Linked DNA regions of Rhinolophus ferrumequinum. The protein of the gene in region 1 interacts with the protein of each later gene in a biochemical or structural test. Links are inferred from orthologs where the notes say so. Each region holds a gene or a part of one and is shown in the gene's direction. Other genes may lie near its edges. The genes, in order: LRRK2, LGALS8, RAB8A and MAP2K7.

The links.
Region 2: the proteins of LRRK2 (region 1) and LGALS8 form a complex in vitro, tested with the Homo sapiens proteins (2 studies listed by BioGRID and IntAct, with this or other methods). The link is inferred for Rhinolophus ferrumequinum from reciprocal best matches to the Homo sapiens genes LRRK2 and LGALS8.
Region 3: of the proteins of LRRK2 (region 1) and RAB8A, one has a biochemical effect on the other in vitro, tested with the Homo sapiens proteins (2 studies listed by IntAct). The link is inferred for Rhinolophus ferrumequinum from reciprocal best matches to the Homo sapiens genes LRRK2 and RAB8A.
Region 4: of the proteins of LRRK2 (region 1) and MAP2K7, one has a biochemical effect on the other in vitro, tested with the Homo sapiens proteins (2 studies listed by BioGRID). The link is inferred for Rhinolophus ferrumequinum from reciprocal best matches to the Homo sapiens genes LRRK2 and MAP2K7.

What each region holds. Positions count from the first base shown.
Region 1 is NC_046293.1:43,684,024-43,691,366, forward strand, and holds the start of LRRK2 (leucine-rich repeat serine/threonine-protein kinase 2), read left to right. Parts: upstream 1-4,327; 5' UTR 4,328-4,460; coding exon 4,461-4,614; intron 4,615-4,866; coding exon 4,867-4,952; intron 4,953-7,343. UniProt on the Homo sapiens protein: Serine/threonine-protein kinase which phosphorylates a broad range of proteins involved in multiple processes such as neuronal plasticity, innate immunity, autophagy, and vesicle trafficking.
Region 2 is NC_046310.1:21,961,420-21,969,397, reverse strand, and holds the start of LGALS8 (galectin-8), read left to right. Parts: upstream 1-4,977; 5' UTR 4,978-5,074; coding exon 5,075-5,116; intron 5,117-7,978.
Region 3 is NC_046301.1:49,741,589-49,749,550, forward strand, and holds the start of RAB8A (ras-related protein Rab-8A), read left to right. Parts: upstream 1-4,962; 5' UTR 4,963-4,999; coding exon 5,000-5,210; intron 5,211-7,962. Other genes in the region: TPM4 (tropomyosin alpha-4 chain), read left to right, coding at 763-845. UniProt on the Homo sapiens protein: The small GTPases Rab are key regulators of intracellular membrane trafficking, from the formation of transport vesicles to their fusion with membranes.
Region 4 is NC_046301.1:56,872,716-56,880,267, forward strand, and holds the start of MAP2K7 (dual specificity mitogen-activated protein kinase kinase 7), read left to right. Parts: upstream 1-4,551; 5' UTR 4,552-4,625; coding exon 4,626-4,749; intron 4,750-6,450; coding exon 6,451-6,498; intron 6,499-7,552. Other genes in the region: volume-regulated anion channel subunit LRRC8E, read left to right, coding at 84-2,327. UniProt on the Homo sapiens protein: Dual specificity protein kinase which acts as an essential component of the MAP kinase signal transduction pathway. Essential component of the stress-activated protein kinase/c-Jun N-terminal kinase (SAP/JNK) signaling pathway.

The sequences.
Region 1 (7,343 bases):
CAAAATAAACAAACCGAACAGAAACAAACTCATACATATGGATAACATTTTGATGGTTGTCAGATGGGAAGGGGCTGAAAAGGGTGGATGAAAAAGGTGAAGGGATTAAGAAGTACAAATTGGTAGTTACAAAATAGTCATGGGGATATAAAGTAAAGCATAGAGAATATAGTCAATAATATGGTTATAACTATGTATAGTGCCAGGTGGGTACTAGACCAGTCACTTAAATTATATAAATGTCTAACCACTATATTGTACGCCTGAAATTAATATAAAATAGTACTGAATGTCAATTATAATTGAAAAATTTAAAAAAGGGAATAAAATGTTGAAGGGAGTAAGAGGTCCAAATTTCTAAGTATAAAACAAATAAGTCATGGGGATGTAATGTGCAGCATAGGGAATGTAGTCAATAATATTGTGATTGTATGGCATAGTATCATGTGGTGGTTGGACTTATTATAGTGATCACTTCTTTAGGTATGTAACTGTTGAATAACTATGGTGTACATCTGAAACTAATATAATATTGTGTGTTAGCTATATTTTAATAAAGATCTTTTTAAAAAGCTTAAGAATGGGTATTCTAAGAGGAAAAAGGAACTATGGAGGCAGGTTTATTTTAAAGATCGTAGGACAAAATTCAGAGGTGAAGTGTTTCTGAGAACAGCACAGTATATGTCATGTAGATTGTCCTTTAACCTGAGGCATAAAACAAGAAGACTGCAGAAAACAGGTTAATAAAAGCTAAAATCACTATCTCAGTACCATCATTTTGGGGGCAGTTATTGCATACAGAGGGCATCAACAACTTTGGTGTCAGCAGAATTTGGCCACAATAAAAGGACCGGCCTGCTGCTTGGGAGGGACTGGAGGTGGTCTCTCTGGTTTAGGCAGCAATGCCTTCAGTCATTTAGTCAGCAGTAGTCACCTTGCTTTTGCTGTGGCAGAAACATGGGCAATCCCCCATTCACAAATATTTATTGACTATCTGCATGAATTCACAAGTTGTCGAAACTCTAAGGATAAAGTAGTGAGAAAAACTTATGGAGTATCATGGGGCTGATAATCTAATCAATGCAGAGCAGAAAAAAAATAAAGCTAGTTTCTACTCGGTAGCCAAAGAATACTTTGGGGGGTAGGGAGAGAGGAAGCACATGTGATATACATCCTGGGAACTTCAGGCATGTTTGGAAGAACATGAGGGCCTGACGTTGGCCCAGAGCAGGAGCTGACAGCTCCTGAGAACTGCTGTGTTGGCTGTGAGTCTCCATGGATCCCCAGTCTGGTGTGGCCAACAAAATGTGGATTGCATTTTATGATGTGCAAATTAACTGTGTAGGAATCCATGTGTAGTTCTCAGTTTTTAGAACAAGACTTCTCATGTTGTTGTTTTTAAGTCATGAGTTAAAGAGACTCTTATCTGAAGTTTCATTATGCTCTTAACCAAAGCAAATTCTAGTAACCACTGCAATTGATCTGGGCCTCAGACTTGCCACATCGTTGGGTGCTTTCTCTTTCTGTCTCCACAAAGTGATGCCTTTACATGGCCCAGTCCTTCCTGATGAGAATTGTCTGAGTGATACAGTTATGTGTTTGAATCTCAGCTCCGACTCTTAGGTAATTTATAACTTCTCTAACACTATTTCTTGAAAAATAGGAATAATAGCTGCCTCTTAGGGTTGTTGAGGTTAAACAAATTATACATGTAAAATGTCTTGCATAAAGTAGGATTCTGAGGTGCTCACTAAATTTTGTCTCCTTTTATTTCCTGTGTACCCACCTAACTGTGGCAAGAAATCCTTCCTGCTCTACATAATCATTGCTGAATGCTGAGGAAAACGGCTTTACGTTCACCCAGGATGTTTACATAATGCACTTGAGTGAGAAGTATGAAGAAGTAACACACACTGGAGAAGCGCAGTCACTCTCTCATGGTTAGTTCTACATTTGAAAGCTATGGTTTTTCCCTTTCCTTCTTTTTTTTTCCGCTATAGCAAAGTGCACAGGGCATTCTGTTTCCTCATACCAAACTATTAATCTATATATGTTCTTTTAAAAGTTATTTTCATTTAACTTTTTAATCCATCTGGAATTTGTTTTGGTGTCTGCTGTAATTATCAATGTCCATTTTACTTTTTTCTTCTCAGGAAGTTGGCCAAATGTTCCGACACCATTTTATTCTCCACTGAACACTACCTCTATCATGAATTTGTGCTTGTTAGCCTTCCTTTTCAGTCATGTTAATTATCTGAAGAGTTAATAAGTCTTGGATTTTAGTTAATCAATTAAGCATTTGTGAAAGCTAAAAGGGTACTTTGCCCTACCTCTGCAGTCCTGTGGGAGAATACTCCCAGCAGGGAATTCATGTTCCCACATCGCCGACCGCTATTCTGGCTAACATAGAGTAGGCAATAACTAGGCAATAGATGGAGGAAGGAATTGAGGAAAAGAAGACACACCTTTTTATTTAGTTTTCTTGGGAAGGAAGCTAGGTTTTGATATTTTGCAAGATAATAATCCAGTAGACTGGGAAGGAGAAACTGATGCAGGGGAATGGGAAGGAAAGCATGAAATGGAGAATCCTTAGGAATGCTTGAGATACTGATTGGTTTAGTCCGAAGTTGAAACATGTTCAGAAACCAGTTAGGAAAGGACATACTGCAGGTATGATAAAGATGACAAAGTTGAGAGTTTTTTGTTTTGTTTTCATTATGGGAAATCTTACACAGAAGAAATAGTACTATAGACCACATGAAGTCATTGCGTGTCTTTGACAATCATCAATTCGAAAGTTGGTATTGTCTCATCTCTACGTCCTCCCATTTCACACTGTTCCCCACCACTGGATTCCTTTGAAGCAAATCCTAACCATTCTGTCATTCCAACTGCAAATATTTCAGCATTTGTCTATAAAAGACAAAAAGTCTTTATGACAACAAAGCACATTCACAACATTCAGGTTGAATTTGAATCTGCAATTTTACTAATCTAGTGTATTAAGGAAGCCTAGCTCATCTTGATTAAAATGGTAAAGTGCAAAGATCCTATAACTGGGCTTTAGGAGACCTACCTGGGTTTAAGTGATGGCCCTCAACTTCCTATCGGTGAGTCCAACAACGCTCTTCTCTTATCAGCTCTAAATCTCAATTTCCCTGTTAGTAAAAGAAGGATAAGTGGCTGTCTTATCCATTTCAGAATTGTCCTCAGGATGAGGTAACAGAATTGAAAACAAACCATTCAAAATTGTGAAATATTAAAACTTTCAGTTCAGTCCTCTCCTTTGTCAATGACGCCCAGCACAAATCATCTAAAGGCAGTAGATGGTCTTTGTTTAGCCTTGTCTCCAGTGTTTCCTGGTAGATTTCTCTTTGTGAAAAACACATTACTTTGGTACTGTTTTTTGTTTTTTTAACGTTAGGTTTATAGATGCTCATAATCATAAGTAATTTTGAATGCCAAGAGAACAATGCCTTGATTGCTGTCTTTCACCTTTTCTGGTTTCACCTTTTCCTTTCAATTTACCCTGTGTTTCTCTTGTGCCCCAATTATCAGGATCCTACTGAGTGCAAACTCAAATTTTCAAAAGTTTATTTGGTGGCCTTTTGGCCAACAGAGCTTCAGATAATTAATAAAGAAAAAAAATTATTTCCTCCTTTACAAACGGCCACAACAATCATAGAAAAGTATTTAGATAGCCGTACTTTGATTACAAAAATCTCTTTCCATCCTTGAGGGGAAATTACTCATCTCCCCATAGGGGGAACTCTATAAAGAGAATGTTTTCCAAAAAGGGGCCAACTGGGCGGTGTCCTCTTTTCCCAACGCCCAGATTTCTATTCTTAGATCTGGAGATAGGAGGCGGCTTTCATTTTTCCTCTTCCTAGTTTCCAGACCTTCTGCGGGACTGAGGGCGCTCAGGCCGGCGGCTCGCAGCGGGTGACCGGCTAGGTTGCAGATTGCACTCCTCCTCCAGCCGCTGCTGGGCTCCGGGCCTGGGGAGTCCGCCGAGTCCCCTGAGTCGGTTTCTTCTTGCACGATTCCCGGCCGGACCGCCCCGGCGGGTGGGATCCGGTCTGTCGGGGCCCGCCCGGGGATCACGGTCACGGTCACCTCGGCCAGGCCCCGCTCAAGCTGCGTCCCTGCTGCCCGCTAAGGTTCTGCACAGCGCCTTGCCCTGGCGAGCCTCTCTCAGGCCCCTGAGCTCATTTTTTGGGCCTGGGTTGGGCAAGAGGAAGCAGAGGAGGAGGGCTCAGGGCTGGCAGGACAGCGCCGGGTGGGGAGCCGCCGCCTTCCTCATAAACAGGCGGGCGTGGGTGCGGATGGGGCGGGCGGGTAGCACGGGCTGCCGGCTGTGAGCCGTGCTCTCCTCGGGAGCAGTGACCCGCGCCGCTGCCCCTTCCCTGAGCAGACGGCCTTGGTGCGGGAGGGGCGGCCTGTTGGGAGCAGGGTCCATCATGGCCAGTGGCAGCTGTCAGGGGTGCGAGGAGGAGGACGAAGAAACTTTGAAGAAGTTGATAGTCAGGCTGAACAATGTCCAGGAAGGAAAACAGATAGAGACACTGGTCCAAATTCTGGAGGACATGCTGCTGTTCACCTACGCTGACCACGGTAATCATTTGCGAGGAAACTGTTCCTTTATTACACTCCCTCCCCCCGCCTCTTTTGCAAACTGTCTCCCCTACACTTTGCGCAAACGTGGACCCTTGGGAAGCCACAAACTCTACTCCTTAGGGCAAAAAGGAGCTGAGAATTCTCGGAAGGTATTGCGCTCACTTCTTTTGCTCTCTCCCCCTTTTTCATACTTAACGGGTGCTGTGAACCGTGACTTGGCTTCTTTTCCCCCACCCCCTTCTTTTCCAGCCTCCAAGTTATTTCAAGGCAAAAATATCCACGTGCCTCTGCTGTTCGTCTTGGACTCGTATATGAGGGTGGCTAGTGTGCAGCAGGTAAAGGAGTTGTTTTCATTTCTCCCATTTCCCCTTTTCTTTGGAAATACTTTTATGTCAATGTTATATGCCCAGAGCTCTGGGTTAGTTCTGAGATTTGGCTTGACATATCAATGACTGTGATTTTAAGATGGAAGCGTTGTCAAATCATTGTCAAAAGATAACTGGTGTAAAAGGGTCCACTGTGTGCTCCCTAATTGTCTTTAAGAAGTAACTTTATACAATTGACTGAATATGGATGGTGGTAAGGGGAATAATAATGGAGTGAAGTTGAGTTCTGTTATTGGCTACTTAAGTTCATCAGTGTTTAACTCAAATTGTTCTAAGAATCTTCCGAATGTACAGCATGCCCTAGAGATGACACCATTGTGAATAGTTTGCGAAAGGGGAATAATTAACAGTAATAAAATTAATAATCAATGAATAAAATGAAGTAACTTACAAACTTTCATAGGGTTAGGTTTTTTTTTTTAATTTGAAGATAGATTCTAGCCTTCTTTAGTTGTAGTATATCTTGTATTAGCTAAAGAAAGTGATTTATGATTCCCCTATAAGTCGATATTTTCAACCTTTTTCATATCATGTGAATCTAGAAGTGAAACTTAGAGTCTTCACCACAGGAAACCCATAAATTTGCTAAATACATTCGATATATCGAAAAAGGAGGCCTAACAAGATAATTAAGGATGATTTACAGTCAAAACAGCATTACTGCCTAACGTGTTAACTTCTTTTGTAGGTTTTGAGATTTAGAGAACTGAAATCAGTTTTGTCATTTGTCTGTAAGGTCCTGAAGGGAAAGATAATTGAACTTTGAACTCCACTGAGGTGCAGTCAGAAAGCCAATGTTTTAATACCTACTAGACAGATGTAAGAGTTATTTGGATCTCTAAATCTGTGTCTATCTACCTTTACCTTTATGATTATCTCTGTATCAGCTGTGTCTAATCTGGGTGAACCATATACTTAGCCTGTTTTATATGAGGATATTTATATCTGGGATAAATGGTTACTTTTATTTTTTTCAACTGAAGTATTTCCCATCTGACTTGATTTTCCGGTTGTTAGCATACAAAACCGAAAAGATGGAAGCATGATAAAGACACTGTCCTTTTTAGCACCCAAAGTCTGAATTTTGCCCATGAAATATGAGTCACTTTTTAGCACTGGTCCACTGTGCTTTCCATCCACATCGTCCCTGCTTACTTGCCTCGGGTGTTCAAAAGTCCTTGTCTGACAGCATCCTTGGATTCTATGCTTGGTAGAGTCACCCCTGCTGGGTGCCACTCAGAACAATTGGACCCTGAGTGGGCTTTGATCTGCAGGATCCAAAGAGGGCAGTGCTAGATGTCAGAACCCAAGGAGCTTGGAACATACTCACCACCTAATTCTTCATTTTCAGAACTGTGCAAGCTTGGGCATGTTTGTCTGGAGTAGTTATGAATATCACTCAATATCCTTGCCCAGGGGTTACCAGAGACAAAGTATGGAAGAAACTAAGGACTTGTCTTCTGATTTAGTCATTTAATGGAATAGAATTATTCGTTTCAGCACCATATGTGTATTAGTTTGCCAAGGGCATTATGTATGTTACATCATTTCATTCTCACTGGAATCTCACTGACCTGTCAGAAATCTCACTGTATATTTTTTCCTCAGAGTAAGTAGCTCATTTAGAATCACAGAGCTACTGATAGAGCCAGCACATACGTTCAAAATTTCTTTCCATCTTACAATCCACTACCTGCTGAATTCACATGCTTTTCGTGAAAGTAAAAACACAGTGGTTTGGTACCAATATTGTGGTTATGCTAGGTACAGTGACATTATCAATTTTAATTATCATTGGTCTTATCAAAGGGCTGTACAGATGGGTCTCTCACTGATATTTTAATACTTCACTTAAAAGAAAGTGTTTTTTTTCCTTCAAATTTCTTCATATTACTGGTGTAATTAATATAGATATCCTTTTGTTCTTTACATGTTGAATTAGCTGAAAGTGTTAAATGAAAGACTCGTAATCGAAAGTAAATATTAAGGTTTGTTTCCAGAATTCACTTAACATGATAGTCCAGACTCTGAATTTTTATTTTCAAGGTCTTTTCATATTTTATTCATGCTCCTTAATAAATGACAATCTTTAGAGGTTGGTAGTTAGGCTAGCTGTCCTAATACTTTGTTTTTTTCCTTCCAGTCATCTGACCATTTCTCTGTGCTCTTCAATTTTACATTACTTCTTTTTACCCACACAGTTCAACCTTTGAAGGGAGTGAAATAAATGAAGGTGACTAAATTTTTCTTTAATCCCTACACTCTATCCCATTGTGCATTAATTAGATCCTTGAGTTTACAGACTAATTATAATATAATAAAGTGAAACTACCAATTTAA
Region 2 (7,978 bases), on another chromosome or scaffold:
TTCTACACTGTTTCTCTTCACAGCAAAACTTCTTGAAATATTTAGTCGTTACTTCTACCACTTCACCTCTCATTTCTCAAGCCACTTCAGAGTCTGTCACAAATGACCTCAGTGTCGCTAAATCCTTCTGCTTCTTGACCTCTCAGCAGCATTTGGTACAATTGGCTGTTCTTCTTTCTTAAGTCTTTGTTTCTCTGGCTTTTATGACAGCACTCTCGTCACGTCTCCATGGCTGCCCCTTCTCAGTCTGTTTTATCGGTTTTTCTCGACTTCTCTCCCCAGGGCTCTGTCCTAGGTCACCTTCTCCATCTAGCTACTCTCCTAGGTGACCTCATCAAATGACTTCAACTCAGACCATTTTCTCCTCACCTACTATACCTTAGCCATGGTGCTCGCCTCTCTGTTCCTGAGGACACCAAGTCTTCTCAGGAGACTTAGATTGTGTTAGTTGTTCCCTCAGCCTGGAATGTTCTTCCCCAAGATCTTCATTGTCTTCCTCCTTTCTTTCATTCACCAGCAACTTAAACTTCACCTCTTTGGAGAGGTTCTCTCTGGCATCCAACTAAAGTAGCCACCCAAATGCTTCCAGTTACATCATCCAATTTTAATCTTTTCCAAACACATCACTGTCTGTCTGTATCTCCCACTGGAATGTAAGTTCCATTGAAGCAAGAACAGTCGAAACTCCCTGCCTTCGTGGAGCTTATACTTGAGTGGGTGAAGTCAAATAAAACAAAAAGTGGATTATATAGCATATTAAAATATGAGAAGTACTTGAGAAAAATAAAGCAAAGAAGAGTGGGGACTGTGAGTACGTATGTGTTTCAGGAGGGTGCTTGCAATTTTAAATATGGTGGTCAGGAAGCGCCTCACTGAGAGATGATATTTGGGGAGACTTCAAGGAGGCAAAGGAAACATCAAATGCAAAGGTTCTGGGGTGGGAGTGTGACAATATGTCCTAAGAATACCAAGGCCAGTGTGGCTGCTGCAGAATAAGGGACGCAATAGGAAACGACGTCCGAGTGTGCGGGGTGGGGGGCAGACCATGGAAGTCTTCTTGTAAGAACTTGGATCCTTCCTCAGAGAATGAACAAAAGCTAGCAGAAGGCTTTAGAGGAGGAGTAGCTGTGTGGATTAGGCTTTGTTATGGTGTCTCTAGCTGCCGATTGAGACTAGATTGCAGGGGGGCAAGGGCAAAAACACGGAGACCAATTAGGGGGCCATTGCAATACTCCAAGGAAGAGATGTGGGCCTTCCAAATATTTAGGTCTCTTTTCTGCATTTAAAAGGGTTCCGTGAGGGGCAAGTACAGTGGTCCCCCCTTATCCACGATTTCACTTTCCAGTTTCAGTTACCTGCTGTCAACTGCAGTCCAAAAATATTAAATGGAACAATTCCCGAAATAGACAATTCATAAATTTTAAATTGTGTGACATCGTGAGGAGCATGATGAAATTGCATGTTGTCTCACCTCTTTGTCTCTACCAGTCACTTAGTAGCCTTATCGGTTAACAGATGGAGTGGCTGGTGATAGCTGGGTTTGTGTTCAAGACACTCTAATTTTACTCACATAACTTTTATTACAGCATATGGTTATACTTGTTCTATTTTATTGTTGTTGGTCTCTTACTGTGCCTGGTTTATAAACTTCATTATAGGTATGTGTGTACTGGTAAAACATTGTATACTACATAGGGTTTGGCAGCGTTTGATGTTTCGGGCGTCTACGTCCCCATCTATGGCGGCACGTACCCCCCACGGGTAAGGGGGTGCTGCGGTACCACAAAGCCATTTGTATACTTGCGTTATCGCTGTACCTCGTCATGGAGGGCATTCAGTACGTATTTGATTTTAAACGATACAAAAAACATACTGAACTCACTGAACAAAATAGGGACCAATGTGGGGGTTATTTCTAAGAATAAATTCTTGGGATTTGTAATGCATCTTTTAATTCGGTATTACTTCACCAACACTGGATTTTTTGTCCCTTTGACTCAGTTCCATTTTCACTTAAATCTCACCTACCAAAGAAGTAGAATGTAGATGTGTATTCGAGAGGTACTAAGCCCAGCCTTGCCTAAACCAGCTTTGCCTGGGCTTAGTACCTAATACACATTCAATCGCTGCTCACCTCACCAACATCCTATTTCAACCTAATATTTCCAGTGTCTACTTCGTGCAAAGCATTAGTAGGCATCGGGGAATATTATGCGACAAGTTCCTCTTCTGCTTACAGTGGAGCTGTACCGATACAACACCGTGCACCGAAAGGCGAGTCCTAGTCCAGGGGAGTGTGTGTCACGGGTTAAACGGAGCCATTTAAATTGGATCCTGGAGTCGCTCAAACTTGGAAAATGAGTAGGGGGGAGAGAGAAAAGGAACAGTGCATCAGACTGTGAGTTCACTGGTACGGGATGTGTAATGAATTCCTTAAATAGAGAATAACAGAAACAATTAAGCCAGAGGAGAAAAACCCACCGCAGTGGCACCGAGACGCGTCTTTCAAAGCAAACGCGGCTAAAAGTCGAGGAGAGACAAGTAGGAACACGGGCACTTCGTGTTCCCGAACAGGAACCGCGCCGCACGCAGCCAACCGGCCACGGTGACCTGTTTGCACTGTTCTCGGACGTTCTTACAGCAACAGGTTGAACTAGCAGTGGGTGGGGGCCCTTGGCGGAGACCTCGGGTGTTTACAGAACACCTACCGCTCAGACTCGGGCTCGTGTACAACACGAAACCCCCCACAAAAGATGGGTGAGGAATGCGCAGCGGCTGCTAGTCCCAGGCGGACTAAACGGACGCGTCCCTGGGCCGGCCACAGTCCGACTGCACTGAAGCCAGGTCCCCACCATTTCACTGACACCCAGGAGGGGCCCAAAGGGGGCGCCTCCAATCAGGTTCCCTGACCGTACAGCCCGGACTCTGATCCCAGGCAGACAAGGGAGCAAGTCTGAGAAACACCGGCGACCTGGGCAACCAGGGAAGGCCAGAGACGGGCCTGTGGTCCAGGCAGGGCCTAAGCGCCCGCCTTCGGAGACCGGAGGCCCACGACAGGGGACCGCGGGGACACGCTGGCTGAGGGGCGGAAGGCTTTCTCCGTTTTTCCCAACCCTTTCCATTCGCCTCACCCAGACGAAAAGGCAGAGGCAGCCAGATCCGCCCAAGGATTTTCTTAAACAGACTCTGCCTCGTCCAGGTCAACCCGCACCGCGCTGGCTGCGATCCGAGACCCCACAGGCCGTGTGGGAGGCCGGGCGTGGTGGCGGCCGCGGCGCAGCGGGGGCGGGGCCAATGGCGACACCCGGAGCGCGAACCCGTAAATGGCGGCGGACTGACTGCTCTCACGTTCCGTAGCCGCGCACGGGCGCTGGGCCGGGAATTGGACGGCGCGCCGCAGTGGACAAATAGCCTCGGCGTGAGCGCCTGCGTTGCTGGCCCAGGTGAGTCCGCGGCGGTGGTGGGAGCGCCCGCCTGGGAGAGGGTTCGGTCGTCGCTGTCCCAAATCAGTGATGGGGGTGGGTCCATCTCCCGTCAGCCCGCCGCCTGTGGCGCGGGGGTCCCGGCCTGTTCGCCGCTTCATCTCCCTCCAGTCGAGGCCGGCGATCTGGGGAGGCTTCCACTCTGGCCATTTAAATGACAGGGTCTTAAGTTTAGCGACAGACCCCGCAGCTCTTCCGGTTCGCTCTGAGGGCGCCCTGTGAGAGGCCGAGTCACTGGACTCCCTGTTAAACGTTAGGAAACGCAGGTTATCCGAATTGCACTGTTGGTTACAACGTAACGAAGGCTTCCTGCGAGGTGGTTGATGTCCGGGACCGCGGGGCCTGTCCCTGTGGACACTCGGGGAACGACAGGCTCCTGAAGCCTGGGGCTTAAACCGGGCCCCTGGTGACCGTGTGCACTGAGTGTGGCTCTGGGTTCTCTGCGGCCTTTCCTTTGGGTCTCGTTCGTACTTATGTTGTACTAACGTGTAATTGAAGACACAGGTCGGCGTTGCATTAGGTGCTAAACTAAGAGGGATGCGGCGTTCTCTTACTCGGGACAGAGTGATGGCTCCGGTCCGCGCGTGCAGCGGGGCAGAGTCCTGACAGCGGGCGGAAGTAGCGCAGGAAGCTTAAGTTGTGTTTTTGTTTTCGTTCTCAAGCTATCCAGTCTTCTGGGGCGCTGCTCAGTGTACCGATAGGCACTTTTTAAAGAATGAAAGTATAGTGGAATACAACGTCGTGTTAGTTTCAGGTGTGCAGCGCAGAGACTCCACACCTATGTACCTTACGAAGTGATCACCGCGGTAGGTCTAATTACCATCTGCCATCGTACAGTTCGTACGATATCATTGACTGTATTTTCTATGCTGTATGTTACATCCTCGTGACTTACTTATTTTATAACTAGGAGTTTCTCTTTAAAACTGGCTGATGCTCCCCCTCCCTTTTTTTATTTTAGCCGCAGAGAAAACTGTATATTCAAGAGATTGGATTCTTTTCCCTTTGACTAGTTTAATTTGGAAGAGGAAGAGCACTCTCTTGTATTAATAATAATAGCTAAAACTTATCTATTTCATTGTTTTATTAACTCATTTAATCCTCAGCACAAACCTGTGAGATGAGTAGTAGTAGTATTCTCATTTTATACATGAGAAAAGTTAAATGAATGTCTCTGATAATTGTACAGCAGTGTTTGCTATTATTTTATTTTAGTATTTTTATTTTTTGTTTTAATATTTTAAATAAGTTCCGTGTTAGAAATTTTCTACTGATGTAATATTTAAATCAATATTTCCTTCACTATTATGCCAAATTATTTAGTATATAAGTACACTAGGGAAGATTTGGGGTCAGATCTTTCATTGTAATAGCATCTTGTCATTTGGTAAATATCAGTGAGATAATTTATAATTTAAATTTTAAAATAGTTATGATATAAAGAAAAATGATGCATTTTGTTTCCCTCTGTTTTGATTTTACACAGGACAAGTGCCTGTTTCAGTCTGGGAAGCTTTTAAACGAAACGTGATTAAAATCTTAGGTCATACACAGAAGAGAGACCCCAGTCAACAATAAGGTGGAAAAGAAGAATGTTGTCCTTAAACAACCTACAGAATGTCACCTATAACCCGGTAACATTTCTATGAAATCACTTTTTACCTGTTGCAGGATTGAGAGCAAATCCAGTTGGAAAGTAATTATCTATTGCTGGGAGTGGAGGGGCAAGAATAAAATTCAAAACATATGTAAAGCACCCACTGTGTGATAGGGACTGTGGTGGGTACTTACTAGAAAACACGGAGCCCTTGGAGCTCAGTCTAGTGGAAGACCAGGTCACAGTTACAAAGACAAGGTGATGAGAACTGTGTTTTGAGCAGAGAACGTGGGAGAACAGTGGAGGGAACGCCAACTTGGGTGGTGGTGAGAAGGTGCAGATAATGATAAGACATGATTTAAAAAAGAAAATAGATTTCTTCCTCTATAGGTGTTTAATTTTCTTTTTTAATTAGACCTGTCCATGGCTCAATTTTTCCCTCTGCCTTTCAAATACCTCATGGTACTCAAGCAGAGAAACTCGTGGTGAGATGGAAAACGAGAAAAATTACAGGTCTTGTCCTGGCTTCAGGCTGGTCCACAAACCCCTGAGTGACTGGTTGCTGGAGATTTCAGACTTGTTTCAATTTCCACGTATCTGGAGCTGAGTCCAGAATTTAGGTCTGAGGTGGAGTTGCTGCTTTTTTTTGGTAAACACTCCAGGAGACTGTTGGACAATAGGGAGGGTGAGAGTCCTTGAAGCAAGACCCTAAACCAGTCTTACTAGTGTAAATGGGTTCAATTTTTTTTATTATTTGCTTTGTGGCTGTAACTCTTTTTTTCCCCTATATTTTAATGTCATTGCAGAAGAATAAACTACGACCACCATATCAAGCAAACTCAGTTTTAGAGGAAATAGCCTTCAGTAGTAATAGGTTTAAAAAGGATGACTTGCTGAATCTGAAATCAGAGACATTTAAAATGATTTTGTGTGTCCTAGAGTTCAAAACATCTCTAGGTTGTAGACTGACTTTCTGCAGAGGTTAAAAAAATATAGGCTGCCTGCCAAGGGTGACTGAGTTGTCCCTGAGCTTGGCTCGGGTGGAGGAGGGATGGATGGCTGGGATACACCCTCCAGTTCTGCTCTGCATGCACAAAGAGGCCTTATTCCCATAAGAAATGGGAATGTTACTTAGAAAATAATTTTCTGGATTAAAATCTCTGCATGTCTTGACACTAGCATAGTGATGGTTCCTGTGATTTCTGGGGTTAGCCCCCTAAGCTGCAGAGGTGAAACAAAGGTAGGATGATGTGTGTTTCCTGGTGAATGGGACCTGGAGGATTAGCGCCGCTGCTCTCCAGAGAGCGCAGGTCCCAGGGCTCCCGGACGGCATTATTGCTCTCAGGGCAGTTCAGGAGCACAGGTCAAAGGAAATAGTTGTTTTGGCAAATAGCTTTTTTCCCCCTTCTCTGTTTTATAGTCAGTTCTTAGAAGCAGAAGAGGATAGAGGTAGAAAGACTGAACTGAATGGCAAAAATAACATTTTGATCTGTCTTTAATTTCACTTATTGTTAAATATTCATAGCATTGAGTGCCTATGTCGCACTGAAGCTCTTCTGCCATGTGTAGCGAGTTGCCCTTCCAGTGTTCAAAAGACAATGGGGAAAAAAGGAGGCTACATATAACTTGAATATTTTATCAATTAGGATATTGTGCAAGCTAGACTTAAAAACAACTGTTTTCTTGCATTATGGTTATTTTGTCAGTGATCAAACAATGGGGAGGTATTTATTGAGTTGCTACTATATTCTTTATTAAGCATTATGAAGAAACAGAACTGTCACTTAATTTTATTTCTTAATGTTTTTAAAGTTTTTGGTCATATTGGTGATAGACAAAGTCACATTCTGTCCATATGAACTCTTCTTGGAAAAGATAAAAGTAAATTGTATAACTAGCCTATGTACTTTTTTCGTATTTAATATATTTCATTGACTATTCAACTGAGAATTCTAAACCTTAAAATAGTCAGGCTCACTTTTCTTTCCATTTAAATTCAGTGAATAATTTGGAACACAATATCTTCATACCAGAAATGCCCTCTGTGAAATATATTGCTTGACAACTATCTACCTAAATATTTTAGGTGGATAGATAAATATTGTTGTTTATAGAGTTCTTAAGATGTGATTATTAGCTGGTTAAGAAGTTATTTAGAACTTGAACAAATTGGTTGTTACTCCAAGTTAATAAACCAGCTGTTAACATTAATCCCACCCAGTGCTGAAAAACTTATGCCAATTTTCTTAGGGACCTTGCTTCCTTTCTTCTTAGTATTCTAAGTACCTCCCTTGCAATTTAATCTTAAAACACAAAACAATAAAATCTTCCTTTTTAACCTCTGAGGTTCCTTACAGCCTTTGTTCGCTTGTTGTTCTTTGGCTGAACACCTTCCTGAGAGTGAATCGGTATCAGCTGCCTTGATTTTCTCACCACAGCTCTGCCCTCTGATTCTTTTTCCTTTTTCTTAAGTTTTCTTGTCTTTACCAATTTTTTCTTTCCTTCTCTCTTTCATGTCTTTACTGATCACCTTTAGACCTTTCAAATATGTTTACAATCTGAATACAGTTCTGGCCGTTCACCTCTCCAGCTCTCAGATGCCCTGCCAACCCTTTAGGACTATGAGTTCAAAACAAAACTTGCGTCTTCCTTCCCCGAACGGGCTTCCCTTTTGCAGTTTCCATTTCTGTCAGGGTCATGGTACTTCTGCCTTTAGCTTGGCAGCTCCTCCCAGGCTACCAAGCCCTCAAGAGTCTGAAGATAATCTCTCTTCAAAATTTAAAATTCATTTAGGTCAAACCCAGTGGTTTTTCATTTTTTATTTTTTAAATATAAAGATAATATATGTAAATCATTTTTAAAAAAATTCAAAGTATTTAAGGATTTCATTAAAACAAAT
Region 3 (7,962 bases), on another chromosome or scaffold:
ATCTCAATCATTTTGCGTTTACCTGGGGTCTGACTACATTGCTATGGACACAGACACGGTAACACAATTACACCTGGGATTTCAACAGCCATTCCCAGAAGCACCAAAGGAAAGATGGGTTACAGGATTGTATTTTCCTCCCCAAAGCTCAGGGACTAATTAGCTGGCACTAAGGGGAAACTGTATTAAGTCACCCATATCTAGGACTGAAATCTTATGTTTGTATAGCACTTCATAAGTCCTGAAGCATTTCTCATTTCTCATAATAGCCCCCATACCACACATTGGTATTGTTATCTCCATTTGACAGATGAGGAAACTGAGACCTAGAAAGGTTCAATGGCTTACTTCAGCAGCACAGCTGGGGCTTAAATCTAGGTGTTCTGTCTCTAAAACCAGTATTGCCAGATTTAGCATATTAAAATACAGGACGCCTGGTTAAATTTGAATTTCAGATAGGCACTGAATAATTTTTTGGCTTATCTCATACAGCATTTGGGATATATCTACCATACTAAAATTTTATTTATCTGAAATTCAAATTTAATGAACACCCTGTATTTTATCCTGCTATCCTATCTGACTCCCAAATTTTGTACTTGATCTCTAGTATTCCATCGTGTTCTTTTATAATTAAGATGCAAAGTACTTTCTCTGCTATGATTTGCTCTGGCAGTGAGGAGTTTAGAAAACCTTTTTGCCCTTTAACAAATGTGCTTATTAATTTATTTTTCTCCCACTCTTTTATTTAATTCTCACCAGAAAAACTTGCCCAGGCCAAAGAAGAGAATGTGGGCTTACATCAGACACTGGATCAGACACTAAATGAACTTAATTGTATATAACCAAAACAGAAGAGTTGTTCCAACAGAAGCTCCAGACCTCCGTGTCTTTCTCTTCTCTTGTAAGAAGTTTCCTTTGTTACTGCATCTGCGCTTTGCTGGAAATGTCAAGCAAATTATGAATACGTGACCAAATATTTTGTATCAGAGAAGCTTTGAGCACCAGTTAAATCTAATTCCTTCCTTTTTTTTTTTTTCCCAAATGGCACCAGCTTTTTCAGCTCTATTTTTATCCTTAAATTGCATTTATCACTAAGGTAGGCAGGGTGTTTCCTATTGAACATAGTCTCTTAAGACTGAGGGCATTTGGTTCCCAGGAGATTAGACAATACCACACTTTCAAAACACAGAGTCCAATATCTAGTCACTGGTCAATTTAAAAGGCTGAAGAATAGAACCTCTGAGCCACCAGTGGACACACTACAGGAGGCCGGGGACCATCACATGAAAATGGGTGGGGGTTTTCCTTCCAGAGCAAAAAGGGGGCGGTGCTGTTGTGGGAAGTCATAAACCACAGATAGATTAACCTACTCACCCTGGCTTTTTTCCACATTCTACCATGCAGAACAAACATCTTCTGAGCAGTCAGCATGAGAATGCTGGGGAAATAGTCATAATACTCTGATAAGAAGCCATCCACTCAGCAGGAATGAATATGGTAGAATTTAGTACTGTTCATGGGACTATATCAAAAAGACTAGTCACCATCAATAATTTAGCAAAAGCATTTTTCTATTAATAAATATTGGTCAGAAAAGGCCTCTCTGGCAGCAGAGATAAAGTAACTGGCCTAACTTCATCTCTTCTGTACTTTAGGGAATGGTACATTGAAGATTTACGTGTCTAAGATTTTAATTCCTTCTTCAGGACCAAGTTAATAAAAGACCAGGAAACTCCTGATTAAACTGGATATGGAGTATTTTGTAGACAGGGCTGCACATGTTAGCTTTGTTACATTCTCGCTTTCTCGGTTAACATCTCAGAGCTGAAACATTCCATATTCCCCAGCAGTGGGGGGGGCCAGTTTACAATTCTGACTAAAAACCACCCTGCTTCTAGCTTATCCGACTCCTCTGCCCCTCACTCCTATTTATTACACATCACACTACCCAGGAGATACACTAGCAAATTGTGCAATTGAATAGAACCCACACTTTTCATTTAGATTCTTGCAGCTGTATCATATGTAATACGTAGTATCACTTTTTCTACATTTTGGTCAAATAAATTTTTACATAAACTATAATTTGTGTGACTTTTAGAATGCGTCGAGACATAGAAGGCATTTTGGTTCATTGAATGCATGGGATGCGGAGATAACTGCCACAAACTTAGCAAATTTTATTTATTGGCTGTATACCACAACTTCATGATGTGAGGATTGTGATCTCTTTATTACAGGTGAGAACACTTTGCCTCAGTAACTCAAAAGCTCCTGTCCTTTGTTATTCCCCAGTCCTGCTGAGCCAGGCTGTGAAGAATGAGGAAGGTTTTAATAGATGAGATAGGAGCAGGAAAGATGGTCCCTGTTGCTTGAGTCAGGAAAGCATAGGCCTGCCTGGGTACGGTCTTCTGTGTGTTGAGTATATAAAGGAAAGAAATCCACATTGATAAGAACCTTAATTTGGTCAGGAGTAGAAAGCCCCTGACATTAGGAAAACCCACTTAGCATTCATTTTCAGGAAGGGCTCTTAATAGAATGGAGGGAAACTAGTGGCAGGAAAACCAGTGAGGAAGATGTTTCCATTAATCCAGGGAAGCGTTGGCCGTGAAATCAGAAGGAAGAAGTGATCTGCAAGAAGTAATCTTACGATTTAGCTGACTGAATGGTACAGAACTTAAAAGTGTCAAAGGTGACTGCAGTTTCACTACCTGACTTGCTTTGGTATTTGCCTCAAGATCTGATATTGGGACAGGCGGGTAGGGAATCAAAAAGAGAAATGAAAGCCTTGAAAACACTGATGCAGTATGCAAACAATTTTTTGTTACCAAGTACAACTGAAAACATTTCCTGCTATTCAACACTTAGCTGACACTGAGCTCGTTTAGATGGTAGTTGAGAATGTCAAACAAGTGCCTTACCATCATTACTAAGGTGAAGTTCTTTCTCCCTCCTACCCACCCCCTTGGGCTGTAATCTAATCTCAGGAAATTGTGTTAGTCATCCTTGTGGCCCGGCAATTAACACAAATATTCAGTGTTTATTCAACTGCCCTGTCTCCGCTCTTTTGGAGTTCCCAGGCCCATGAAGTGTGGGTGGAACAGCAGATGAGGTTAGGACTAGGTTGTGAGGACTTTATCCTGCCCGTAGACCATGGATGGACATTGGGTAAGTGCTTTAGAATGGGCACACTGCAGGGTGGAATCTGGATTAGAGAATGATCGGGGAAACCAATGGAGAGAGGTGATGATCTCATGGGTGATGGAAATAGAAAAGCAAGATCCAAGAGCTATTTAGAACCTCCTTCAGAACCAGGATGTGAGGGATGAAAGAAAAGGCTCAAAGACAACTTATTTCAGTAAGAAGGTAATTCGGGACAAGCTAAGTGTGAGTAGAAGACAGTCGAGCTCAGTTGTGGACATGATGAATTTGAAGTATCTTTGACAAATCCAAAGGCAGATATCAAGAAAGTTAGACATTGAGGGATGGCTGGGCGGGCGATGGATTCTCTAAGAAGTGAAAATCACCAGTGTGGTTTCACTAGAAGCCACAGGAAGTAAGATCACTCAGAAAGTGGGAACAGATAGGAAGAACCGTGAGGAACATGGACATCTAGGGGACAATCAGTAACCCCCGCCACCCCCAAAGACTGCAAGGGAATCTGAGAAGCAGCAGCCAGAGAAAGGGAGGTGGACGTAGCTGGTAAACAGGCAATTAAAATGGAGGAGTGCCAAGAAAAGGAATTGCCAGAGGTGTTCAATAGCATCAAATACGGGGGGCAGGGGTGGGGGTGTGGGGGAGGGGGTCGGTAAAGCCTACAAGGTGTCCATGGCTCTGGACGAAGCTTTTTGGAAACATTAATAGAATGAGCTGAAATGCAAGGTCGGGGCGCCCTGGGGCCATCTCGGAAGATCCTCCGGCTCTGATGGCCCACAATGAGGGTTTGGCCCATCTCTGAGAAGCAGGAAACCCTAGTGATCAAGAACTTGGCCTCTGAAGCTTCCCGGTCTGAATTCAAAACCCAACTTCCCACTTCGGGGTCCGAGAAAGTCACTTAGCCTCTGTGGCCTCGGTTTTCTCACCATAAAACGTGGTTAAACAGCAATACCTACCCCACAGGGGGTTGGGGTGGCGATGAAATATTTTGGTATTAAGTGTTGACACCACTGGTGGACACAGAACCAGTGTTCCTCAATATACCTGTAATTCTCATTCTAAATCCCTCGGCGGGTTCTGGACCTCCGAGGGCTGACTGGGTTGGGGTGGGCAGGCTCCAGGGGAAGAACTGAAGGCAAAAAGCGGTCTGGACAACCTCTAATTAGGGCCGAGGGCATGTCGTGAGTTGTCCTAGCGCGCTCAGGTGGCGAAGGCCTGGGGATCTCTGAATAGGTCCCCTGGCCAGAGCTGGGATCCCGGAGCACGTCTCGGGGGCCCTCGCTTCGACTGTGACGATCTCTCTTCAATCCTTTCCTCTTCGGCTTATCCAGGCCTGACGTGGAGGCCCCAGAAAACACCGCCAAAACCATCGCACTTTCCCCCTCTCGCCCTAGCGCCTACTGAGCCTGTGCGGGCCGAGAGGGCGGGAGCCAGAGACCAACCCCACGAGCGTGCGCCCTCTGCTGGCGCCTAACGGTCTCCCCGGCGCGCGTGCGCACGAGCCCCAGGCCCCGCCCCCAGGCTGCGGGCGCGCGGAACCGTTGGTGCCGCTCCCCGCGCTTCCCCGCCCCTCGGGGGCGGGACGGGGCCTCCCAGAGTCGGTGAAAGAAGGCGGGGACCCGGGATGCCACGCCCCCTATCCTGGTCTTCATTTGAAGCCCCTCGACTCCTCACCGCTGGCCAATCGTAGCCCGCCCTGTCCCGAGCGTCGGCCAATGAGCGGCGCTCTCGGGCCTCTTCCGGCTCCGGGCCCCGCTCGCCCCTTCCCCAGATCTCCCCGCGATGGGCGGAGCACTGTGGCGGGCGTCGGCCGCGGTGACGCGCGGCGGGCCGGGAGCCAATGGGAGGTGGGCTGGGCGCTGATGGACGGGGCCAGCGGCCAGTGGCGAGGCGCTGGCTGCACTTCCCGTCGGGGAGAGAGTGTAATATGGCGAAGACCTACGATTACCTGTTCAAGCTGCTGCTGATCGGGGACTCGGGGGTGGGGAAGACCTGTGTCCTGTTCCGCTTCTCCGAGGACGCTTTCAACTCCACTTTCATCTCCACCATAGGTAGCGGGGCTGGGGAGCGGCCGGGGTCTCCGGAGGCCCGGGCTGGGCGCGCCCCTGAGGGGCAGGGGCTGAGGGAGGGGCCGAGCCGGACGGACCCAGGGGTCTGAGGGGGTCGAGGGGGTCCTTGGGGAGAAGAGCAGCCGCCTCCGCTAGCGTTCGGGCGTTCCCGGGCCATGTGGGGGAAACCAAGTGCCCATTTTGCAGATGAGGAGACTGAGGCCCCGATCCTCAGCCCCCTGTTAAGTGAGTGTATGTCCTGGGCTGGGGTCTTGGCGTCTGTCATTTTGTTCTGTCCTTACAGCAGCCCTTAAAGTAGTTCTTTTGGGGTCCCCGTCTTGCAGAAGTGAAACTGAGGCATGGGGAGTTGGCCGTGGGTAAAGACCCCTGACATCTGACTTTATTGAGAATGTACTGTGTGCCAGGCACTGTATGTGCATTATCACACTCTCCAGTTCTCTATATTAGGTCTGTTGTGAGCCCATCTCACAGATGGTGAATTTGAAGGTCAGGGAGGCGTGGGACTTATCTAAGGTCATACAGTCTTCAGGTGACAGCGATGGGATTTGAATCCATATGTGCCTGACCCCAAAACTCAAGGCTCAGCCATCCCAGAGAGTGGGAGCACAGGACAAGCACAGCTGATCCACCTTGGAGCCAGGACTCTAACCTAGACCTGTCCTGTTCTTTCTTCAGGAATAATCAGGGGTTAAGTCTCTAATCCCTGACCCTATGTCCCCCATAGGTGAATTTCCTCTAGAAGGAGTGGTGAGAGGGAGTCCAGAGCCTTTCCCTGCTCTGCCTCCCATCCCACTCAAGGGTCACAGCATTGGCAGGTGACAGCTGCCTTCCCTGGGACCTGTCATCCCCAAGGAGATGCCTGATAAAAAGCTTCAGTGAGAAACCGAAATCAGCCACTGCCACTGACAGCCCAGACTTCCCTATCATGAGGCCCAGGACACCGGTTGTCACTTTGCAGAACAGCCTTTCCCACAAAGCCAGCCCACATTGTGGTTGAACAGAATTGGCTTGTTGCTTTTCAGTTCTGACGGCCACAAAAATGGATCTGACTTCTCCTCATGCCACACAAACAGCTATTGCCCACGTGAAAAGGTTTGACCTGGGAGAGTAATACTGATCTATACAGCCTTGCTCCGCAGTGGAGAAGCTGGAAACGGTTGCCAAGCCCAGGAGTTGATTCTGAATGGAGAAACTCTAGGGAACAGGCTCTGCCTTACCCCAGTGTAACCTGAACCCAATGAACTCATCTCCTGAACCCCACGATGAAATGCTGATTGCCCTCCTTCAGGAGCTGCATTTTGCAAAACAATCAGGTGCCAGGTGCAAAGTAAAGAAAATTGTTCTGCTTGATTTCCAGCTGCTGTTCACCCTTGAACAATCACTTCACCTTTCTGAGCCTTGTTTCTTTAGTTTAGGAGTAGTGCTCTGTGCAGAGCCCTAGGTGGTGGAGGATCAGAACTGTACAATGAATAGAAGGTTGTCTGCCAGGGTCCGTCCAGAGGAAGCAGAGTGACTCCTGTAGTGATAGCGTCCCTCCCTGGGGCACAGGTGTTTCTGATTCTTCCCCTCCCCCGCTCCAAGCTTGAACCTTGGGATAACCCTTGAACCCCCACCAATCACTTAACACCTGGCAGGCTGTGGGTCACTCAACAGAGATCTCACTTTCCCAGTGTCAGGATCTTCCTGTTCAGCACAAGCACTACTGCGGTCAGTGCAAGGGTGGGTTTTTGTTTGGTTTCTGATTCTTGACCAGAAAGTCCAGGCTGGCATGCTAGGGCTCTGAGGAGGCTGGCCTCCACTTACAGAGGAGGCCATGACTTGGGCAAGGTCACCTAGGTAGGTGGAGGTGGCACTTGAACCCAGGATCCCTCCCACCCACTCTGTATTGGTTTCATGAAACTTTCCTGCAGGCCTCTGTCTTCTAGGAAAGTTTAATTCACCCTGACCTTGAAGTTACGGCCTCATAACTCTTAGGTCTCATAAAGTTTACACGTCCTAATTAAATTTGGTGTGTTAATAAAACCCGGGAGGAGGATAGGGCCGAGTGACGTGGGGCTCTGCCAACTGAATGGTGCTTCTTGATTTCATAGGTGCCTTGCATCTGTGATGAGATGGGAGGTGTTCTAGGAAGAGATGACCTGGGCCACTTAGTTTTGAAAGACAACCTAATGCATAAAGGGGAGTCTCTGTTGGCACTCAGTATACCTCTGGGTTTTCTTTATAGATCAGGGATTAAGTGGCTCTTCATTTTCTGCCCAGGTTATGTTTGCCAAAGTCTGTTTTTGTAAGCTCCATTGATTGTGTGTGGTGTGAACTTGGCCCTGTGGCTCCAGGAGTTGGTTCTCCCCAGCCTGGCTTGGCCCTCACTACCTCCTCAGGACCTCATTCATTCATTCCTTCAGGGAGACGGATGATGTTGGTAAAAGTGCTTTTTAAACCATGCAGCGCCACGTAGGTCCCGTTTCTCTTAATTCTTTCATTCAACCATCTTTCTGTGATGTCCGCTGTGTGCCTTGGTACGGGGGCTGCAGAGATGACTCGGATGAATCAGGGAGAAGCAGAACTGTAACAAGGCCTGTAGTCAAGGTGTGTGTGCAGGATGAGGCAGTTGGCTTCCAGAAAATAGGTATTCAGCCCCTGCCACGCTTAGTCACTGGATATGTGGCCATAAAACTTTTTGAGTCCCTGTTCTCATGTAGCTTATGGCCTAGTGGGCACAATTCAAGTGCAGGCT
Region 4 (7,552 bases), on another chromosome or scaffold:
TTCCAAAGTCACAGCTAGCGGGGGCCAGTCAGATTGGGGCTTTCCACCTCAGCCTACTTCTCTCCCAATCCCCCCACTCCCAGGTGACACAGGACAAGATCATCTGTCTGCCCAGTCATGAATCCCGGGAGAACTTGTCCGAGGCCCCGTGTCAGCAGCTGCTGCTGCAGGGGGTCTCCGAGCACATGGGGGGTCTCCAGGAGGTGAACGGCCTCAGGAACAACCTGGACCTACAGCAGTACAGCTTCATTAACCAGCTCTGCTACGAGGAGGCCCTCCACTGGTACCCCAAGTACTTCCCCTACCTGGTTGTCATTCACACACTCATCTTCATGGTCTGCACCAGCTTCTGGTTCAAGTTCCCTGGCACCAGCTCCAAGATCGAGCACTTCACCTCCATCCTAGGCAAATGTTTCGACTCACCGTGGACCACACGGGCCCTTTCCGAGGTCTCCGGGGAGAACCGTAAGGGCCATGCTGCTGGACGAGCAACAGCAACCATGGAAGCCCAGGCAGGGCCAGGGAAGGCAGGGGAGGGTGAGAAGGAAAAGGTGCTGGCAGAGCCTGAGAAGGTGGTGACTGAGCCACCAGCCGTCACTCTGTTGGACAAGAAGGAGGGCGAGCAGGCCAAAGCCCTGTTTGAGAAGGTCAAGAAGTTCCGTGTGCATGTGGAAGAGGGGGACATTTTATACACCATGTACATCCGGCAGATGGTGCTCAAAGTCTGCAAGTTCGTTGCCATCCTGGTCTACAACCTCATCTATGTGGAGAAGATCAGCTTCGTGGTGACCTGCACGGTGGAGACCTCCAGGTTCACGGGCTATGCCAGCTTCTGCTGCAACCACACCAAGGCCCACCTCTTCTCCAAGCTGGCTTTCTGCTACATCTCATTCGTGTGTGTATACGGGGTCACCTGCCTCTATACGCTCTACTGGCTTTTCCACCGGCCCCTCAAGGAGTACTCCTTCCGTTCCGTGCGGGAGGAGACTGGCATGGGTGACATCCCCGATGTCAAGAACGACTTTGCCTTCATGCTGCACCTCATCGACCAGTACGACCCGCTCTACTCCAAGCGCTTTGCCGTCTTCCTCTCTGAGGTCAGCGAGAGCCGTCTGAAGCAGCTCAACCTCAACCACGAGTGGACGCCCGAGAAGCTTCGGCAGAAGCTGCAGCGCAACGCCAAGGGCCGGCTGGAGCTGGCCCTCTGCATGCTTCCAGGACTGCCTGACACCGTCTTCGAGCTCAGCGAGGTGGAGGCGCTCCGGCTGGAGGCCATCAGTGATATCACATTCCCTCCGGGCCTGTCGCAGCTGGTGCACCTGCAGGAGCTCAGCCTGCTCCACTCACCCGCCAGGCTGCCCTTCTCCTCACAGATCTTCCTGCGGGACCGCTTGAAGGTCATCCGTGTCAAGTGCGAGGAGCTCCGTGAGGTGCCCCTCTGGGTGTTCGGACTGCGTGGCCTGGAGGAGCTGCACCTTGAGGGGCTCTTTCCTCCAGAGCTGGCTCGGGCGGCCACTCTCGAGAGCCTCCGTGAGCTGAAGCAGCTCAAGGTGCTGTCTCTGCGGAGCAATGCTGGCAAGGTCCCAGCCAGTGTGACCGACGTGGCCGGCCACCTGCAGCGTCTTAGCCTGCACAATGACGGGGCCCGCCTGCTGGCACTGAACAGCCTCAAGAAGCTGGCGGTGCTGCGGGAGCTGGAGCTGGTGGCCTGTGGGCTGGAGCGCATCCCTCACGCTGTCTTCAGCCTGGGTGCGCTGCAGGAACTTGACCTCAAGGACAACCACCTGCGGTCCATTGAGGAGATCCTCAGCTTCCAGCACTGTCGCAAGCTGGTCACGCTCAGGCTATGGCACAACCAGATTGCCTATGTCCCCGAGCACGTGCGTAAGCTCCGGGTCCTCGAGCAGCTCTACCTCAGCCACAACAAGCTGGAGACCCTGCCCACCCAGCTGGGCATGTGCTCTGGCCTCCGCCTGTTGGATGTCTCCCACAACGGGCTGCACTCCCTGCCACCGGAGCTGGGTCTCCTTCAGAACCTGCAGCACCTGGCTCTCTCCTACAATGCTCTGGAGGACCTGCCCGACGAGCTCTTCTTCTGTGGCAAGCTGCGGACGTTGCTCCTGGGCTATAACCACCTGAGATATCTGTCACCTCAGGTGGGGGCCCTCAGTGCCCTCAGCCGCCTGGAGCTCAATGGCAACCGGTTGGAGATACTGCCGGAAGAACTGGGCAACTGTAGGGGGCTCAAGAAGGCGGGCCTCCTGGTGGAGGACACTCTTTATGAAGGCTTGCCAGCAGAGGTTCGGGAGAAGATGGAAGAGGAGTAAAGCCAGGGAGGGGCATGTTGCGGTAGAGGCCTTCTGGGTATTTCTGTCCCCAAATCTACCAATGTCTTCAAGGGAGGTGGCCAGGTGGGCCCAGGCCAGGAGAGGAGCAGACATGTCAGTCTGTGGGGCCCAGGCAAGATCCTGGGACTGGTTTGTCTGGGGAGACGGGAGTCTGTGGATTTGGGGTAGAATGTCATGGAGGGATTAACTAAGTCATGGAATTCACAGACCAAAACCACACCTGTCTTTGGCTGGCTGGCCTGCCCCCAGCCCTGGGCCAGACTGCTGCCCTTCCCCTGGACATTCTAGTTCAATCAGTACAACAAAAGGGGTGAAGACACATCCCAGTAAAATTTCAATCCTTCCCTGCCCCAAGGAGGGGATACAGACACAAGGGGCCAGTGCACACTGCCCTCACTTGGATGTTAATCCCTTATTTATAAGTTGATTCCCATGGACACGTGAACTCAGAAACATGGGCCTCTTAGTTGGCTATGCATCAAAATCAACATTTCCAAAACAAACACCCCAGGCCCCACCCCTGAAAGACTGACTCAGAAGCTTTGGCTGGAGGCCAGGAATTTGCCTGTAAATAAACATTCCAGCTCATTCTGACGAAGGTGGTCCTAGGCCTGTATGTTGGGAGATATCTGGATATATATAGCAGGGATTCTGAACCCTTTTTAGGTCCCTAGGCCCTTCGAGAATCTGATGAAAGCTGGGCACCTCCTTCTTCAGGAAAATGCTCGTGTACACATTCATGCACAATTCTGCCTACAACTTCAGGTCGTCAACAGATTCCCCCAGCTCCCCCAGAGGGCTACTGACGGATGTCCTAAGGCCGGCAGACACCAAGTTAAGAACACCGGCTGTGGAGGGTACACTGCTCTGAGGACAGGCAGGGACTTTGTCTCTGGAATGTTCCCTGTGTGAGGAAGCATGTGTCAGTGGGTGCTTAATAAACAGTCCTAATGATGAGAACCATCATTCCGATCTCGTGTCCACGCCTGTCACTAAGCTTTCCGTTTCACCAGACCACTTCCAGGCAAGTGGTGACATGTGCCACAGTCAAGGGTATGAGTCTCTGTCCTGGGTCAGAGGCGGAGAAGGGGGTAAGGAGGCGCCCTCGGCTAATCAGGAAAAATGAGGTGGCGTCTTCTGCCTAGGTTTTCCCTGGGGAACCCCTTTTCTTCTACTTTCCGTGTTATCCTCCTGATTCCATACTTTTGTATCTGCTCCCCCCATAAGTCTTCATCAGAGGGATCCCCTCGGCTGGACCAGGAGTGGGCAGGGCACTAGGCACAGCCTGCCTGAACCTGACCTGGGCCTGGCCCCCTCCAAGGTATCTGCAGGATGCAATCTTCCGCCTGGCACCCAAGAGCAGAGGCAAGCTGCTCTCCATGGACCCAGGATTCCAGATGGGGACATTTCCCCAGCACCCTTCAGACCAAAGGAATATTTAGGCTACAGGGACACCAGGCAGAGCCGCCGAACCCCAGGGCCAGTCTTTTGCATTGTCCAGGAGCTGGGTTCACATTCTGGGGGCAGGGCAGACAGGGAAAGCCTGACACTGTCCCACGCCAGTCTGACCTGGAACTCTCCAGCACTGACGTTGGTCCCGGTCGCCGAGGTCAGAGGTCATGCCGGTGGACAGTAGCTCTAGACCTACCCCGCCTCTCTCACTTGTCCTTGGCTAACCCTGAGCTTGCTGAAATGGCAAGGGTGCCTAATTACGGTGAGGAGGCAACAATTAAGCATAACAGAGATCCTAATGGACCATGTCCCAGGCGAGAAAGGCAGTTCTGAGAGGGCGTGGGTGCCAAAAAAGGGCCAGTCAGGAAGAGCAAAAAGAAGGCTGAGGCGACCAACCTCCCCAAGTCCCCAAGCACGAGCCGCCGGGCATGCGCGTGCGCAGCAGACGCCACGCGCGAGACCTCCTCTCCTCTAAGCGTGCCCGCCTTTCCCCGCCCACCGCTCTCTGCAGAACGGTGATTGTAGTTTCCACACAGCGCCGTTCACCACTGAGTTCGGGAAACTCGCGCGTGCGCATCACGGCGGAGACGTTGCACGTTGCCAGCCACTAACTCTAGGTGGTGTCATCCCTCGGGCTGGGACGAGGGACGCACGCGCGGGGGTTCGCACGAGGGAAGGGCGGGTGCGCAACACGGGCATGCGCGGTGCGGGGCGAAACGGCGGCTCGGCGGGGTCATCCGGGCGCAGGCGCAGTGCGGTGTTTGTCTGCCGGGCTGACGGTCGGCCGGGCGGTGCGCGGCGGCGGCGGCGGCGGCGGCGGGGAAGATGGCGGCGTCCTCCCTGGAGCAGAAGCTGTCCCGCCTGGAAGCAAAGCTGAAGCAAGAGAACCGCGAGGCCCGGCGGAGGATCGACCTCAACCTGGATATCAGCCCCCAGCGGCCCAGGCCCAGTAAGCACGGCGGCATGGGGGAGGGGGCGGGTGGGGCGGGGCGCTCGCCGCGGGAAGCCCCGCCCCCGCCGCCAGGCCCCGCCCCCGCTTCCGGGACGCTCTTGCTTCTCCGGTCCGTTCCCCCCTCCCCGCTGTCGTCTCGCGGCGCGAGGGTCACGGCAACCCGGGGGGCGGGGTGCTGGCAAGCTCCCGGGCGGCTCTCACCCGGCCTGGGTGATTCCCCCTGACGGAGCCTGGGAACCTAGTTACCTGGCTCCAGGCGAGGACCCCACCTGATGACCCGCCCCCATCATCGTGATCCTCGGAGTCTCTGTCACCTATTGTGAGCCGTGCTCCCCCTACCCAATCCAATCGGCCGTGACCAAATCCACGTCCTCCGCAAGCACATACACATCCCTTTTGACCAGATGGTTCCGCTCCCGTTATCTCGGTGACTGTGTCAAGAGGCCCCTACCTACCCCCACTCCACGCCTGGGTCCTTGTCATCCGGGTTCAAGGGATGGTTCACTCACACTTGTCCGGGGGACACCTCAGGTCACTTGAGCACACGTAACCCCCCTTATCCCTCTGACCAAGACGATTCTCCCACTCCTTGTGACTGTGTCTGGTGATCCCTTCTCCGTCGTGGGCTCTTGTCTTTGAGCCCAGCAGCCCCCCTCCCGCACACATTCTACTCACATACATGTACCAGGTCCCCTTCACTCCCTGATCAGTTTCACTGCCACCATCTTGGTGAATGTGTCTGGCCCCTCAAAAACACACACTCAGCCCCCAACCTGGAGACTTTGTCGTTTGGGCTCAAGTGACTTCCTTTTCCCCACATACCCCTACCCACCCAGCCTGGGGACACCTGAGGCCCATATGGTGGTATCTAGCATCCCAGCACACATACGCCTCCCCTCTAATTCCACCATCTCAGCACCTACCTTCCTGTCATCTTGTCATCTGGAATCAAGAGCTGTCCCCCCTGGGATCACCATGACCACATGTAGGATCCTTGTTATGTCCCATAGAACCCAACTCCTCTCAGCTGGAGGGCATCAGATTTCCCGCTGCCCACAGACTTGAAGAACAGCACCCCCATGACACTTACGTAGCTCCTGTGGGGTCATCCTGACAGGAGGGGAAGACATCCCTGTATCTGGGTACTCCCCAACCACCCCCTACTCACCTGGCCTGACCTTCACAGCCTTTCCTCGCCCCCGCCGCCGTCTTGTGTGTAGGGTCCACTCCCCATCTCTCTTCTGACGTGGGTCAGTGTGGGTGCCTCACTGAGGGGTCTTTTGGGGGCCCAGAGAAAGCCCCAAGGCGGTAATGCTGGCGTTGGACACTCCCTGGGGTAGGAACCCAGCCAGGACTGGAGGGTTTCTACTAAGCTCCAGGATGGACAAGACAGCGCTGGGTACGGGGCGTCGGGTGCCTACAGGGGTGGCTGTCCCAGGTGCAGAGCAAGGCACGGCAAGACCCAAGGCGGGCAGGCCCCCGAGGAGCCCCCTGCAGGCATCTGTGTGTGTCAGCGTCAGCTCCATCCCCTCCTGCCGGTCCTCCCATCTGTCGGTTTCCACCCATCTCTGCAGTTTGGTGCCTCGTGCCTCCCCCCTCCTCCTCGTTATGATTTGATTTCTTTTCTTTTGGACAAATCGGTTGTTTCTGTTGTGATTTATCGTGGTGTTGTTTTTTTTCTTCCTTTTCCCCATCCAGTTATTGTGATCACTCTAAGCCCTGCTCCTGCCCCGTCCCAACGAGCAGGTACCAGCCTTTTTATCATCGCCGCTTGGACATCTGCACCGTTGACCTAACCGCTGCCCTAGCCGCAGAATGCCATCCCCCTCCCCCCGTGCTCTGTGTGTGTGAGCGCCCCTGCGTGCGTGCGCATCTCCTCACTCACTGTCCCTCTCACTCCCTCACTTTCTCTTTCCCTACGGTCAACATCAGGCCCACCTGGCCTCTTCCTGTGTCCTCTCTCCTCTCTGTCTCTTGGGTGCAGGTTTGGACCCCCTGGTGGAGGACCTGGGCTCCCTCATTGACTGGGAGTCTGTCACCTGTGAGGGGGTCATGCATGTGCGTGTGTGTGCGTGCGTGAGTGTGTAGAAGTAAGAGGGAGAGAAAGGGGGGCCAGCATGTTGGCTGTGCCTGTTTATCCATTTCAGTAATTCAGGGGACACGTCTTGGCCCCTGGGTGCTGTACCTGTTTTAGGCTCGGGATACAGCAGTGAACAGAACCGACCAAGTCCCGCTGTGCAGCTGATGCCCCACTAGGAGTTGAAGGGGTGAGAATAGTGAGCGCCTCCTGACTGGGGAGAACTGGAGAAGGCGACAAGTACTGGGGAAAGCAGAGGAGAGCAGGCTTGGGGGTTCTGTAGGGGGACTGTTGGGGGAAGCCTCTGGAGAAGGTGGGGTTTGAGCAGTGTCTTGTGGGAGGGGCGGGGAGCATGTGCACAGCCCTGCCAAGGCCTGAGTACAGGTGCCAGCGGGTCTGGCTGGAGTGGATGTATGTGGGGTGTGCCCATGCATTGGGTCGGTGGTGTGTGAGAGACCGGGCTGGGGTCTGTCTGGTCCTGTTGGTCCTTGTGTGTAAGTGGGATATTAGGCAGTTGAATGTGTGTAAGTGTGTGTGTGTGTGTGTGTGTGTGTGTGTGTAAGATGGTGTTGGGGGCTCCGTGGTCTATTATCTGCCCATCTGCATGTGTATGGGGGTTAGTGCCATGCCTGTGTGTGTGTGTGTGTGTGTGTGTGTGTGTGCGCACACCCCTGCTGACTGACAGCCTGGTACAGCTGTGGCTCCTGACAGCCCCCATGTCCT